3 linked regions of the Macaca mulatta genome follow. The main gene of each other region encodes a partner of the protein of the gene in region 3 in a complex. Links are inferred from orthologs where the notes say so. Each region holds a gene or a part of one and is shown on either strand. Other genes may lie near its edges.

Region 1 (4,944 bases), on a different chromosome or scaffold from region 3:
CAGAGGCAGACAGCAGACCTCCGGGGAGCACGCTTTATTTGCATCTCCCAGGACAGAGTTGGGGAGGGAGTCAGGGGATTTGGGGTTGAGGATATGGCCAGGCTCAGGTCCTGGGACCCCAACCCCCTCCCCAACCCCAGGACTCAGCTGGAGTTGGAGGCTGGGCATGGGAAGCTCTGGGTGAAGGTCAGCATCTACTCCACACCCTTCATGAACTCCAGGAACTCTGTGGAAAGAGGGGCAGGTGTGGGTCGGGGGTGGGGGCTGGGCAGGGCATGGAGGCAGGGGACCAGCCCACCTACCCACTTACCATCATAGTCGATGCGGCCATCGTTGTTCTTGTCTCCGTCCTTCATGAGCTCCTCGATGTCGTCCTCCGTGATGGTCTCGCCTGTAGCCTGCAGCATCATCTTCAGCTCATCCAGGTCGATGTAGCCATCAGCGTTTCTGTGGGGAGGGGGCTCAGGGTAGGACTGTGGGGAGGGCATAAGGCAGCCCCACCCATGCCCCAGGAGGCAGAGCAGGGACACTGGGAGATGGGGCATCCCTCTCCCCAATCAGGCAGAGGCCGCAGGGTCCCTAGGCCTGGAATCTGAGACCGCCCTCCTCTACAGTTTGGCTTGAGTGTGGGTCAGGGTCAGAGGTCAAGGGTCACATGCTCACTTGTCAAACATGCGGAAGAGGTCAGACAGCTCCTCCTCAGATTTCCCTTTGCTGTCGTCCTTCATGCACCGAACCATCATGACCAGGAACTCATCAAAGTCCACCGTGCCGCTGCCTGGGGGTGGGCGGCATGGCCGTTACAGAGGCCGGGGTAGGTACTGCAGGCAGCACCTTCGACATGAACCCCCATGTTCTCACCGCACCCTCACACCAAATGCCAGGCTTCTGTGGCCATTATGCCCATTTTATAGATGAGGCAACTGAGGCTCAGATAGGCAAAACCGCTCCCAGCTAAACAGAGCCAGCATTCCAGCCCCCAGCCAGCTGGGGTTCTTCTGGAGCCTGGGGAGGAGGGGGCTCACCGTCCTCGTCCACCTCGTCAATCATCTCCTGCAGCTCCTCAGGGGTGGGGTTCTGGCCCAGCATCCTCATCACCTTGCCCAGCTCCTTGGTGCTGATGCAGCCATCCTCAGCACCCAGCACGAAGATATCAAAGGCTGCCTTGAACTCTGTGTTCAGGGGTTGGGGGGCATAGTAGTCGGGGCTCAGCAGCCAGGACCTCAGAAGGCCAGAACCCTGGGGCCATCTGCCAACCTGCCCACCTCCCTCAGAGACCTCTCTGAGGTCAGAGCAAGAGGGACCAAGCCTCTGCTCTCTGGTCTGAGGTCCTCTTCTGGTAAGGGGTCCCCATGCCAGCCTGGCCCCGCTGGTCTCCCACATGTGTGATAGGGGTTCTCACCATTTTTCTGCTCTTCTGTCAGCTGCTCTACCTAGAAAGGAAAGGGATTCTCAGGGCTCAGACTCAGGTATAGCTGCTGCTGAGGAAACCAATCCATTCCACAGGTGAGAAGGCTGGAGCCGGAGGAGGCAGGCTATTTCCAGGCCACAGGGCGGAGGTCTCAGTCCTCCCTCCCTGCCCCCAAAGCCCTGATGTGACCCAGCTGGCCTCACTGAGACTGGGCTGAGGGCCAGGGTGACAGGTGGGCACCCCCTTCAGGGCCAAGGTGACCCTCAGTAACAATAGTCAGTGACCACTCAATGCCCTTTCAGCCCCTGATGAAACTCAAGCCGGGTGGCCCGAGGGACAGCTGTCCCTCAAGTTGGGACAATAAAACCAGTGTGGGGGCAGGCGAGCCACCCACTGTAACCTGACCAGGGTGGCCACTGGGCTATTTTTAATGAGGAACAAAGTTAAACCTGGTGATTGTTCTGGGGACTTTGGCATGCAGGGGGTGGGGCAGCGTTATCTGGCCCCCTGGCCTGCTAGTGCCGCCTCAGGAGCCAAAATTAGTCCCCAGCTCCGCCAGGCCTTGTATGGGCACTGGGTGGAGGGCTGCCCCCACTCCAGCTCCATGGATTCCCACAGGATAAGCAGGCGTGCCCCCAGAGCTGGCTGTAGCACTTCCCTGCCCAGGAGTAAGGGAGGCTGAGGGAGGGGTTCCCCTGGGGACAGCTGTTCATTCCAGGATGTCCTTGCTCTGGGGTTGGGGGAGGTCACCACCACCCCTGGATAGAATAGCATCTGAAGACCCCCAGTGACCCAGGAGGCTGCAGGGGCTTGGGGTGACCACTCTCCAGCCCTTGTTCCCTCGCTCTCACCCCTATCTAAGCCACTGAGCGCTGAGCCTGCCAGGCATGATGGGAGCTGGGGCCCCAGTTCTCTGTTCCTTCTTCCTTGGTTTTCCCTCATGTCCAGAACTTCCCTGCCTCAAACTTCAAAGCCCCATCTCCAGCCCAGGACTCAAGCTCTGCAGCCCACTCCTCTCACACCCTCCACCTCCCAAAGCATCTTCGGCCAGTCAAGGGGCTGGAGTGGGGTAGCAGATTTTGAGCATGTGAGAAGCATAATGTGAGGGGCAGAAATGGGGGTTGGGGACAGGGAGACAGTAATGGGGACTCAGACAGCTCAGGAGGAAGAGATGAAAAGAGAAAGGCAAAAATGTCCAGAGACAAATGCAGAGACATGTGGCTGAGCGACAGTGCCTCAGACTACAGACACTTGGAAACAGAGAGTGAGACATGATGCTGAAAGCTGCGACATCCTCCACCACCCTTCAGAACCTGAACTCCCATCCCTTCTGCATCCCCAAACACCAGAACCACTGTCCCTGTGACAGCCTGGATTGAAGGCACGTAGGCTTTCTCCTGGGTCCCCACCACTTCCCTGGGGCTACTGGCCTCCCATTCTGAGCTGAGTGAGCCCCCAGTGGGCCTGCCCACCCCAGCCCTACCCAGCCCTGTCCCTCACCGCAGCCTTGTAGATGTCATCCATGCTGGCGGCTCACAGGACAGCCTGCTGGGGTTGCCAGCCGGCCCTTGACTTAAATAGCCCTGCCCCACCGCATTCCTGGCCCAGCCCAACCCAGCCCAGCCCATCCCTGCATGTAGTATCCTCCAGTCCCTCCTCTGGTCCCAGTGATCTCAGGCTGGCCTGAGTCCCCGTGTCCTCTGCCCAGGGCAGGAAGCAGATGAAGGGCTACAAGGACCAGGTTTCTTTCCCTCCTGTCCCCCACACTCCCCAAGGGACTCTCTGAAAAGGTTTCTGGAATGAATGAAAACATGAGTCCAGTGCAGGACAGGAGTTACGAAGTCGTGGGCCCTAGGCAAGGCCCGGGCAACACAGCAGCTCAGGCTCCCATCCAACCAGGGAGGCGGGTGCCATGACCACCACTTTCCAGATAAGGAAATTGAGGCTCTGGAGGAGTGGTGACTTGCCCAAGATCTGACTGACTTGGCAACCCCTGCCTTTAACTCAACCTCTCTGGAATGGGGGTGCAACGTGCAAGGAGAGGCTGGGAGTGCAGGGCCCTGCCAAGAGAAGCCTTGAATATCAAGCTCATAGTACGATGCTGTGGAACTGGTGAAGGAGGAAGTGACTGATCCACCTTAGGACAGGGTGGCCAGGAGCCTTCTGCCAGAGGAGCCTGCCCCAGACCTCCCATCCGCCCAGGGAGAAGTACTCACTTCGGGCTTAAGTCAGCTGCTGTCAGTTATTCAACAGCACCCCTACAGATGCCCCATCTGTGGCAGGCTCCTTTCCTCCTCACCCTCTAGTTAGGTTACCACCTCCCTCTTCTAGGTCTCATTTTTCCTTGGTTTAGGACTCAGTTCCCCATTCTAGCACTGTAGTTCCTGGGTCCAGGTCAATCTGTCTCCCTCGTTTTAAACTCTGGCAGGCCACCCCGTGGGGTTCTTGTGCTCAGTGGCGGCACACACCCCTCCATCCACCTACACCCTCCTTCGTACAGAGTTCGTATCAAGTTTATCCCTCTTGATAAACACGCTCCCTGCCTCGAGCACTACTGCGTGCCGGGCCGCGCATGAACCGACCCACTCAGTTGTCCAGGAGCCCCACTGACAAGAGATCTCCGAGTCTCGGAGAGGTTCAGAACTGGCCCAGAATCGTTCTCGCCCTGCTCCGGCGGTAAGCACAGGTCCTGTTTTCCCCTCCAACCCGCCTTGCCCTAAAGAGAAAGAGCTCAACAGCCAGGTGAGGCACTATTATGGCCTCCTTTATCCGGAGGAGTAAACTGAGGCCAGGAAGAGCAGTGACTTGCTTCGTGTAGCCCGGAAGGCTCGAGACCTTCTGTCCCCTCTTCCCGAGGACGGAGGGGCGATGCCCAGAGCTGTAACCACCAGGGGTCTCAGTTTCTAGCAGGTTGCGCAGTGTACCTCCCGCCGCGCCAAGCAGGTAGAGATTACGCAAGCGAGCACCGCGCACGCGCGCGCTGTGGGTGGTGCCTGTCAATCACGCACGAGGGGCGGGGCGAGGGCGCAGGAAGAAGGCGGGGCCAAGATGGCGGCGCAGCGCGCGGCGGGGGCGTGGGGCGGCGGGGGCTGGGGGGCGGTGGGACGTTGACCCCGCCCCCTACTGCTGCCAGTCTGCGCCGGGCGGCGGCGGCGGCGGAGACCCGAACATGGCGACGCTGCGCACCTTCGGGCCCGAGCGGGAAGCCGAGCCGGCCAAGGAAGCTCGCGTCGTGGGCTCGGAGCTCGTGGACACTTATACGGTTTGTTGGGGGCGCGGGCACCTGAAGCGGGGGTGGTGGCTGGGACCGGGAGTCCGACTTGGGGGCTTGGGGAGGGGTTCGGGATCTGCAACCCTGAGGAGCGGGTAGAAGGGTCTGCGATTGCGAGGGGGCTGGGACGGGGGATCTAAGGAAAGGGATCTGGGCCTCGCAGGTTCGGGTGAAGGGTTGCTCGGGGCCTGGGGAGGCGGTTTGGAAAAGGGTACGCGATCAGAAAGGGAGGCTCGGGTTGGGGGCGGCATCTGGGGATAAA
Region 2 (5,232 bases), on a different chromosome or scaffold from region 3:
ACCCAGGAACCCAAGCCCCAGCCCCTCCTCTCTCAGACCCAGGAGTCCAGGCCCCTAGCCCCTCCTCCCTCAGACTCTGGAACCCAAGCCCCTCCTCCCTCAGACCCAGGAGTCCAGGCCCCTAGCCCCTCCTCCCTCAGACTCTGGAACCCAAGCCCCTCCTCCCTCAGACCCAGGCGTCCGGGTGCCCCAACCCCTCCTCCTTCAGACCCAGGAGTCCAGCCCCTCCTTCCTCAGACCCAGGAGTCCAGCCCCAGCCCCTCCTCCCTCAGACCCAGGAGTCCAGGCCCCCAGTCCCTCCTCCCTCAGACCCGGGAGTCCAGGCCCCAGCCCCTCCTCCCTCAGACCCAGGAGTCCAGGCCCCCAGCCCCTCCTCCCTCAGACCCAGGAGTCCAGACCCAGCCCCTCCTCCCTCAGACCCAGGAGTCCAGACCCAGCCCCTCCTCCCTGGTCCCTGAGTCCAGACCCAGCCCCTCCTCCCTGGTCCCTGAGTCCAGACCTCCTGCTCCCTTCTTTCCCAGGACCCAGACTCCAGTGTTGCAGCCCCTCCTCCCTCAGTGTCTGGGTTCCCAGAGCCCCCTCCTCCCTCAGCTGAGTCTCGGCTTGTCCTCGGTCCTCACTGCAGGGTGGTCCATCTTCTCAGCCCCGAGCTTGGGGCCTGTGTGGCACCTGGAGGGAACCTGATTGTGGAATTAGCCCGGTGAGCCAGTGGGGTGGAGGGCGGGGAACATCCCGGCTGGGGATCAAAATCTGGGTCCCTGACATGGCGCTTCCCATCTGCAGATACCTGGTGGACGTGCGGCAGGAGCAGCTGCAGGGATTCAACACCCAGGTCGGGGAGCGAGCTCAGGCAGCGGGATTTGCTCCACAGACCGGGGCCAGGCCCTCAGAGACCTTCGCACGTTTCTGCAAGTCCCAGGACTCGGCTCTGGGCAGCACTGACCCAGCTGTGGAACCCAGAACTCCGTCCCTTGACGTCCTGGCCCAGCCTCTTGAAGCCAGCAGCCCAGCCCCTGAGGGCCTGACCCAGCCTCTGGAGGGCGGGACCCCACACTGGGAGCCCTGCCAGCTGCCCTCTGAGTCTCCAGGTTCACTCTCAGAGGTTCTGGCTCAGCCCCAAGGGGCTTTGGCTCTGTCCAACTGTGAGTCACACTCCAACACTGGAGTCTGACCCAACCCCTAGATACCCCTTATCTCCAACTTCCAAAGTCAGGTTGTAGGATGAGAACCCGCTGATACCATCCTAAGCTGGCTGCTAGAGTCCCCAATTTTATTCTAATCATTCCCACTCAGTACCCGCCACCCCCACCCTGGGAGTGTTGATAGAATTTCAAATTCTATTTTTGAGATTCTATTTCTAGAATTCTAGATTGTTCTCTCAGAATTCCAAATTCCACTTCTGAGGCCCTGAACCCAGTCTAGGATCGGACCCTGAGTCTCAAGCCCTTGACTTTGGCCCCCTTGTTCCCAGGCACCCTGTGGCTGGCTGGGGGCTGGGGTGTCTCCTCACCAGGGCCTGGTCAGCACCCAGATGGTTCAAGTAAAGCAAGTTATGTCCACCTCTCTGTGTGTCCAAGTGTCTTTCCTGTCCTATGTCCGTCTCCAGGGCTGGGAGAGAAAGACCCAGGAGTGGTGGACAGAGGAAGCCAGAAACCAGATTCCTGGGTTTCCGGGACTTGACCAGTGGGTCTAGGGAGGACAGGACTGGGGTCTGGACTGCTGGGTCTGAGGGAGGAGGGGCTGGGGGTCTGGACTCCTGGGTCTGAGGGAGGAGGGGCTGGGGGCCTGGACTCCTGGGTCTGAGGGAGGAGGGGCTGGGGGTCTGGACTCCTGGGTCTGAGGGAGGAGGGGCTGGGGACCTGGACTCCTGGGTCTGAGGGAGGAGGGGCTGGGGATCTGGACTCCTGGGTCTGAGGGAAGAGGGGGCTGGGGGCCTGGACTCCTTGTCTGAGGGAGTGGCTGGGGTCTCCCAGGGTCCTAGGACTGAGGAAGGAGGGGGCTGGGAGGTTGGGCATTCTGTGGGTCTGAGGGAGGAGGGGTCTAGGACTCCAGGATCAGAGGGAGGAGGGTCCGGAGTCCTGTGCCCCGAGGTGGCTGGTGATCCAGCTGGAGCAGGGCCCACCCCACCCCTCACGTGCCCCGTTATCTCGCATGGTGGGCAGGGGAGGAGGAGGTGACAGTATATTTAGTCTCTGTCCTCGCCCTTTATCTCAGTGTCCTCGGGGAGTCTCAAGCAGCCGGGAGGAGACTGACGGTCCCTGGGACCCTGAAGGTCACCCAGGCGGTCCCCTCACCGACCCTCCAAACGCCCCTGTCCTCACCTCCTGCCATTCCCGGCCTGAGTCTCAGCATGGCAGATAAGTGAGTGATGCCCCAAGGCAGTGGGAGTTGGGGGCGACCTCTCAGGTTCCCAAGAGGGGTCAGAGCTGAGAGGCTGGACCCCTGGCCTGTGAGGTAGGGGTAGGGGCTCTTGGTTGAAGAAAGGAAGCGGGTTTGCGAGTCAGACTCCTGGAACCAGAGGAAGGGGAAGCGGTGTCCCCCGACCTCTTGGTCAGAGGGGCTTCCGGGGGTCCCTTAGGAGACAGACAGGACACAGCCCACCACTAACCCCCATCCCCGGTTTCTCTCCTTCCAGGAGCAGCGATGCGGTGAGAGCAGCAGGCTAAGGCGTGGCTGGGACCCCCAGGGCCAGGGTGGGCGCTGCAGTGAGGGGTCTGGGGCGGGAGGCTGCAGCCCTAGCAGAGGGTGCGGTACGGTAAGGGCTGGGTGGGGTCTTGGTGGTGATGGGGTCCCCACTCCTCCAAACCCAGGCTGGGGAACCTCGCCCTGCACCAGCCCCAATCAGACGCCGCTCCTCCAACTACCGCGCTTACGCCACGGAGCCACACGCCAAGGTGGGAAGGGGCTTCCTGGGGGCCGAGTACAGGCGCTGGAAGGACCCGAGACCTTAGGAGTGGGGGGAGGAGCCAAGGCTACGAAGGGGGCGGGGACTACGCGGAGAGGCTTCAGGGGCGGAGTTTTGCAAAGGGTCACACTCGGATTGGTGACAGCCGCCTGTGGGCGTAGTTCCGTTGCCCTTGGATTTCCTTAGGGATAGATGGGAAGTGCCTATCCAAAGCCAGAGACCCGGATTGGTGGATGGGAATGAGGGGCGTGGCCTGTCATAGACTCAGGGCGCAAGTTGGAAGTGGGCCCAAATCTGGACCGGCTGGGGTTGCTGGGGGTGCCTTGAGGTCCCCTCCACCGTCGTCTCCGGATCCCCCTCCATGATGCTTCCTTGCTCCATCTCACCCTGGCAGAAAAAATCTAAGATCTCCGCCTCGAGAAAATTGCAGCTGAAGGTGAGCACGGGAGGTCCAGGGAAGGAGCAGGCACGTGCTCAGGGGGCGGAGCTTGAGAGTGGGTGGGGCTTTCGGGGTAGGTGGGCGGGAGTGGGCGGGGGTTTGGCCGCTCGGGGCGTGGCTTTATCGGGGAGTCCTGCTCCGGGTGGGGCGGGGCCTTGGAAAGGTGGAGACGAAACTCGAGGGTTTAGAAGGGCAGACGGGGTTCCCTACGCCTGGTCTTTTTCCTGATGCCCCGGGTGGGCTACGCTTCCCTCCCACCCCTCCGCAGACCCTGCTGCTGCAGATTGCAAAGCAGGAGCTGGAGCGAGAGGCGGAGGAGCGGCGCGGAGAGAAGGGGCGCGCTCTGAGCACGCGCTGCCAGCCGCTGGAGTTGGCTGGGCTGGGCTTCGCGGAGCTGCAGGTACCGGCTCCCAAGGCAGGTACTCCTGCCCAGCCTGGGATCCGAGGTTTCTAGTCCCCGGAATTCAGCAGAACAGCCTCTGTCCCCTCTTCTGCTCGGGACCCAGGCGTCCAATATGTCTGTCCTTACCCAATTCTATATGGTTCGTGGGACTCCCGGCCCCTAACACCCTTTGTGTGCAGGTCTCTGGAGTCTTGGCTCCAACCTACTCCTTCAGGATCATGTGGCCCTCCTACCCCAGACAGGGTCCAGGCCCCAGCCCCTCCTCCCTCAGACCCAGGAGTCCAGGCCCCAGCCCCTCCTCCCTCAGACCCAGGAGTCCAGGCCCCAGCCCCTCCTCCCTCAGACCCAGGAGTCCAGGCCCCAGCCCCTCCTCCCTCAGACCCAGGAGTCCAGGGCCCAGCCCCTCCTCCCTCAGACCCAGGAGTCCAGGGCCCAGCCCCTCCTCCCTCAGACCCAGGAGTCCAGGCCCCAGCCCCTCCTCCCTCAGACCCAGGAGTCCAGGGCCTCAGCCCCTCCTCCCTCAGACCCAGGAGTCCAGGGCCTCAGCCCCTCCTCCCTCAGACCCAGGAGTCCAGGCCCCAGCCCCTCCTCCCTCAGACCCAGGAGTCCAGGCCCCAGCCCCTCCTCCCTCAGACCCAGGAGTCCAGGCCCCCAACTCCTCCTCTCTCAGACCCAGGAGTCCAGGCCCCCAGCCCCTCCTCCCTCAGACCCAGGGGTTCAGGTCTCCAGGCCTCCAGGCTTCCCCCAAAAACACACACCACGTTCCTCCTCCAGGACTTGTGCCGACAGCTCCATGCCCGTGTGGACAAGGTGGATGAAGAGAGATATGACATACAGGCAAAAGTCACCAAGAACATCACAGAGGTGGGACGCATGGGCAGCTCGGGTACCTTCGGGGTAGTGAGATACCTGGTATTTGGTCTCTGCCTGACCCCTTGCAGCTGCTTTTGGCTGCACATCCCAGGAGACCCAGGACAACTGTGAGCCTGGCAGGGCTGGGGCAGAAGGATGAGTACAATATAGTCAAGGAAAGCTGTTGTAGGCAGAGGGAACAGCACATGGAAGGCCATGGGTTGGGAAACAGAAAATATCTTAGTGAACATTTTCAGGGCATCACATGTTGGTAAATTAGCTCAGGCATTGGCCAGGGAATTGTGATTTGCATGTAGCTGGACCAGGTTATGCCAGTGGTTTTGTGAGGTGAGGCTGGAGCGTATGAAGAGGGGGATTCAGTTCCAGGATTAGAAGCTTAGACTGGGAGCCTAAGCTGGGAAGAGACTGGATGAGGCCTTGGTACTGGAAGATGAGATAAGGAGAATAAAAAAGGAGTGTAGGGTGGAAGAGTTGGGTGAGGGGGAAATGGAGGCAGGAGTATCCACACCCCTGTATACTGCCTCCCCCCAGATCGCAGATCTGACCCAGAAGATCTTTGACCTTCGGGGCAAGTTTAAGCGGCCCACCCTGCGGAGAGTGAGGATCTCTGCA
Region 3 (4,442 bases):
GGTCTTTGCCTCCTTTGTTACCCCCTGGACTTCCTGGTAGCCACAGGGCAGAAGCTGATGACATGATTCCAAGCCCCAGCTGGTTGTCCCCTCCCCTCTGGAGAAGTGACTGGGACCACCTAGAACCCTGGTGAAGGCTGCAGCATGACGATGACTGCAGCAGTGGCCCACCATGACCATCTATGCATTGGGATTTCATCCTACGGATGCCACATCCTACAAGTGACTTCACCTAAGCTCTAGGAGCTTCATGTGTAGATATGACTTCTGGGTCCCATTGCTCTGTCCAGACCAGGGGGCTGGACAATGGTCCCCTCTCCCACTGGGTGCCACCAATGCAGCTTCTCTGGGAGGAGAAGGGGCAAAGTTTAAAGCTCAACATCTAAAACTTCAGAAGTGCCACCAAGTTCTGTCCTCTCCTCTCCCAAACCCTCTCAGTGTACACCCACTTCCCTGGAAGGAGCACGGTGGGCATTCTCCTCCAAAGCTGCGGGGAGGGGCTCCTTTGCCTCCCTTGTACCTCTCTCCTGATATCCTTACCTTCAGCTTCCTTTGCTTCCTCTTCTTCTCCATCTTCTAAATGAAACACGAGAAATCAATCAAGGTCCTTGTTCTGAGCTCAAGTCCCCCCATCCCACCAAGAGCCTCCCCAACAAATAAGTCCTAGCTAAGATGCACGCTGTTGGTTTTTGGGGTCACAGAGCTGTGTCTCGCACGCACATTCCCCTGGACCCAAGACTCTGCCTGACACAAGAGAAGGGCTGAGTCAACGTTTGTTGACTGGGCAATCAACAGTTGAATCTTAGCCAATAGGAGAATCAGGTGCACATGGGAAAGCCTGTTCTGGGGTTTCTTACTGCCTAGGAATGGCTCCGGGGGCTCTCACCACCCCCTGAGGTCCCTGCACCCTCATCCAGAGACTTACCTTCTGCCCTGGTCTCCTCGGTCTCAGCCTCTGCTTCAGCCCCATCCTCAGCATCCTCTTCTGCTGCCTCCTCCTGCTCTAGAGAAGTGAAGCAGACAGAGTGAAGAAGCAGGCCCCACTCATGCTATCAGGCAGAACCCAGAGCAGAGAACAGGCAGTGGGGAGTGGGGATGGGGGTCAAGACATCCAGGTCCAGACGAATTTGGGGACAACCAACGTGAATGCCAGGGGGCTGCCATTCTTGGTTTTGACTGTCAGCTGCCTCCTCCCACCCAGCTTAGCCCCACTCATCCCAGAGACCTCTCTGATGACAGGACTCCACCTCCTTCCCCAACTTTCCAGCCCAGAAGTTCCACCCCGTGTCTGGCACCACAGAACATGCCCTGCTTAAGCTGAGGTGTCCGGAAGCTCCTGTCCTGAACCTAGTGACTCTAGACACCCTCAATCCACATCTCAAAGAAATCAAAAGAGTATGACTGTGTGGCTGGATGGTGCGCCCAACATCTGGATCTTCATACTATCCAGAAAGTGGACAGGATTTTTCTATTTTTATCCATTTGTTTGGCAGGATGTGGCCCCCATCTCAATCAGGCACTTGGAGTAGACAGACAGACACAGATAAGGGAGACAGGATGCTGCCTGGCCTGGGCTCTGCCTGTAGGAAGTGTTCTGTGATGCCTGTTCACTGATGCACTGGGAAGTGGGTGCCTCTTGGCAGAGGGAGAAGAAAAAGCCTCAGGCAGGAGGAAGACACCATCATGGGAGAAGGGTCGGCCTTCATCCTCTCTGTCCTCCCTTCCCAGGTCTGAGTCCTCTCTGAAGCCTGGAGATGCCTTTTCTTTGATCCCTGCAGGAGTCTTGCCTCAAAATGATCCTTCTAGGTGTGAAAGCAGAGGGCTAGCGAGGAAGGACATGGCCATTGTGGGGTTCACCTTTAGGCCATCCTGTTCACACCTCTGCCACCTCATCTGACATGTCACTTCTCTGTACAATATACCCCACCCCACCCAGTGGCCATGCCACATCCCAAGGATGGGGAGCTTACTATCTCCCCAGCACACCGACTGCATCTTGAGATATCACTGTCAGGACGCACTTTCTAAAATTACGCCCTGGTCTCACTCTCTTGTCTTGGTCCTGTGCTCCCCATCAGCAGGGCGCATCTGAAGGCTGACGTCATGTCCTTCCTGCTCTGGCTATTTCCAGTCTCCCTGGCTGTTCTCCAGAGGACTTTGTCCCCAGACCCCCCAATCAACACCCTGGACACCCTGCCTGGCGCTGTCCAGCTCCTAAGGAGCGTCAAGCACGGAACACTGGGATGTGCGCGGGGGCAGAGTGGCGCTGCTGGCTTCCAGATGCCAGGCCCCCTCTATGGCCACATTTGGAGCAGTTTGGGAGACCAGCCAACCTGGGTCCCTCCCACCGCCCAGCCCAGGGAAAGGATCAGGAACCAGGAAGAGGAGCCAGTGGCCCTGAGGGTCAGGCATGATGAGCAACTCAGAACTGTGATCCTGGTCCCTGGGACGACTGACCCACTCCATCCCTGACCCCAACTCCCACCCCCCAGCCCCCAGAGCAGGGCCCCTGGACAAGCAGGCTGTACTCGGGACAGCAGGCAGCAGAAAGCACCACAGAAGGAAAGGCTGTACTACCGTCTTCATCCTCTCTCCAGTCTTCCTCTTCTGAGGTTCAGGGAGTGGCCGCAGCGGAGGGGAAAAGCGAGACAGGTTAGTCTAGGAGCAGAGAGCCCAGGGCAGGAGCAGCCACCCAGCGCAGTGGTTTTAAGAGTGTGGGCTTTGGAGTTAGGCCGGCGTTCCAATTCCCAAGCCACTACTTTCCAGCAACAGGGGCAACTCTCTTCTCAGTTGCTTCCCTGAGCCTCAGGTGCCTCATCAGTAAAATGGGGATCATTCTGCTCACTTCTCAGCCCTAGTGAGGACTGAATGACCTACCACGCATAGAGCGCCCAGCAGGTGCCTGGCATAGGAGGAGCACGCTATCTGTGGTAACTGCACTGCCTCTAGACGACAGAGCCTCGGCTTCCTTCTTACGAAGACAGAGGCCCCTAAAGAGCGGAGAGTGGGGGATAATTCACTCCCATCAAATTTCCTGCCCTTAACGAGCATGCCCATGTTCCTGCTCTGAATGAGGCTCTTGGGTATTCTGCAAACCATGTCCAGTTTCCAGAAGCCACACTTTAGAAAGGCTCACTGGAGAGCCTGGCCCCAGGGGAGATTTGCCCAGCCTTTTGGGAGGAGGCTGCCCCACCTGAGAAGGGTCCAGCATTATAACCCTAAGGAAAGAGGCTGCATCTACAACAGTTGTTCTATGTACAAATATCTGCCCAAAAAACAGTTCCAGCAAGTGGAACAATTTCTCTCCTGGAAGAAGGACACTTGGCACTATCTATCCTGCAGGCTTAGCGGACACCCATCTAGAGGTTGCTCTCTCTTGATCATTTGCAGCCAGATCCTCAGCTGTGTGGGAGGCGGGTCTCATCTATTCACGGCAAGCAAGGCAGATGCTACATGGCTCAGACCCCAGTGCAGTGGAGAATGACTCTGTTAACTCACAGCCAAATTCTACCGTGTGTGGCAGGCAGATTGGTCCCAAATCCAGAGATCTATGTCACTAACTCCACCACCCCAAACCTGTTACAAGGAAGTGGGAAATCCTCCAAAACAAAGGAAGGGCCACCATATCAAGAGTCTGTTCAGGGAACACAGCAGAATTTGGAACCAGCTAGATTTTTGATTCAAAAATGTATTTCCAATAGCTTCTGAAGTATCTGGTGTTCTTTGAAAACCAAAAAAGATGCCTGTGACCTCTTTCAGTTTCTCCTGTGACTTTCTCTTCTGTCTCCTCTTTGGCCAGACACCCCTGGAACAGCCCTAAATGTGCAGGAGGGTCCCCATTTTCCCTAGGAGCCATGGGGAGCAAAGGAGGGGCCATCTGAGCTCCCCCCTTGGACCTTCATAGAGACCCTTCTCCTAATGTCTACACGCCACAGGCTGAAGTGATACCTGAGCCACTAAAAGGCAGGGTCCACCTGCCTGGGGTGTAGGGGGAGGACTGGCATGAAGCCTCTGAATCACTTCCATGCACCAAGCTCTCAGGAAGAAGGAAAAGTGAGGGCATTCTTTCAGAGAGATGTGGGACCCCCAGCTGAGGAGGGCAAGGGGTTAACCGATCAGAATAGGAGCAGCAAGAGGGGCCTCTGCAAGCTCAGAGTCATAACAAAGCTTCATGCCGAGATAAGACTTCTCAGATCACTGAGCAATTTCATACTCACAATCGCATTTGAGAAATTACTAAATGGAATCTTTCAGGGTGTATCATGGCATTGTGGTTATGTTTTTTTAAGTAGTACTTATCTCTTAGAGATACAGTGTAGCGAAATCTTGAAGCATGAAATGACATGGTGCCTGGGAACAATTTTGGACGTCTGCTCTAAAATAACTGGGGGAAGGCGGAGTATAGAGGAAAGAAGATTGGCCCTAAGATGATGATTGTTGAA

The links. Proteins that work in one complex are often made in the same cells at the same time.
Region 1: the proteins of TNNT2 (region 3) and TNNC1 are in contact, whole or in part, in a crystal structure (PDB 1J1D), measured with the Homo sapiens proteins. The link is inferred for Macaca mulatta from reciprocal best matches to the Homo sapiens genes TNNT2 and TNNC1. Residues at the interface, in NP_001263274.1 of Homo sapiens: Gln266, Tyr269, Asn272, Val273, Asn276, Arg277, Asp280; in NP_003271.1 of Homo sapiens: Asp99, Phe101, Arg102, Asp105, Ala108, Asp109, Gly110, Tyr111, Arg147, Tyr150, Asp151.
Region 2: the proteins of TNNT2 (region 3) and TNNI3 are in contact, whole or in part, in a crystal structure (PDB 4Y99), measured with the Homo sapiens proteins. The link is inferred for Macaca mulatta from reciprocal best matches to the Homo sapiens genes TNNT2 and TNNI3. Residues at the interface, in NP_001263274.1 of Homo sapiens: Glu214, Lys217, Lys218, Ile221, Leu222, Arg225, Arg226, Lys227, Leu229, Ile231, Asp232, Leu234, Asn235, Glu236, Leu239, Arg240, Ala243, Lys244, Leu246, Trp247, Ile250, Tyr251, Leu253, Glu254, Ala255, Glu256, Lys257, Phe258, Asp259, Leu260; in NP_000354.4 of Homo sapiens: Arg68, Glu71, Lys72, Ala75, Leu76, Arg79, Gln81, Pro82, Leu83, Leu85, Leu88, Gly89, Phe90, Leu93, Gln94, Leu96, Arg98, Leu100, His101, Arg103, Val104, Asp105, Val107, Asp108, Glu109, Glu110, Arg111, Tyr112, Asp113, Ile114.

The regions. Positions count from the first base shown.
Region 1 is NC_133407.1:115,997,951-116,002,894, forward strand, and holds TNNC1 (troponin C, slow skeletal and cardiac muscles), read right to left. Parts: upstream 3,034-4,944; 5' UTR 2,936-3,033; coding exon 2,912-2,935; intron 1,434-2,911; coding exon 1,403-1,433; intron 1,173-1,402; coding exon 1,026-1,172; intron 779-1,025; coding exon 664-778; intron 448-663; coding exon 311-447; intron 227-310; coding exon 195-226; 3' UTR 20-194; downstream 1-19. Other genes in the region: NISCH (nischarin), read left to right, coding at 4,581-4,673. UniProt on the Homo sapiens protein: Troponin is the central regulatory protein of striated muscle contraction. Tn consists of three components: Tn-I which is the inhibitor of actomyosin ATPase, Tn-T which contains the binding site for tropomyosin and Tn-C.
Region 2 is NC_133424.1:67,469,851-67,475,082, reverse strand, and holds the start of TNNI3 (troponin I, cardiac muscle), read left to right. Parts: upstream 1-2,199; 5' UTR 2,200-2,350; coding exon 2,351-2,361; exon of another isoform or gene 2,362-2,381; intron 2,382-2,635; coding exon 2,636-2,648; intron 2,649-2,810; coding exon 2,811-2,894; intron 2,895-3,299; coding exon 3,300-3,341; intron 3,342-3,612; coding exon 3,613-3,744; intron 3,745-4,521; coding exon 4,522-4,611; intron 4,612-5,151; coding exon 5,152-5,232. Other genes in the region: DNAAF3 (dynein axonemal assembly factor 3), read left to right, coding at 626-700, 784-1,171. UniProt on the Homo sapiens protein: Troponin I is the inhibitory subunit of troponin, the thin filament regulatory complex which confers calcium-sensitivity to striated muscle actomyosin ATPase activity.
Region 3 is NC_133406.1:59,013,459-59,017,900, forward strand, and holds part of TNNT2 (troponin T, cardiac muscle), read right to left. Parts: intron 2,608-4,442; coding exon 2,578-2,607; coding exon of another isoform or gene 2,529-2,577; intron 1,004-2,528; coding exon 926-1,003; intron 577-925; coding exon 541-576; intron 1-540. UniProt on the Homo sapiens protein: Troponin T is the tropomyosin-binding subunit of troponin, the thin filament regulatory complex which confers calcium-sensitivity to striated muscle actomyosin ATPase activity.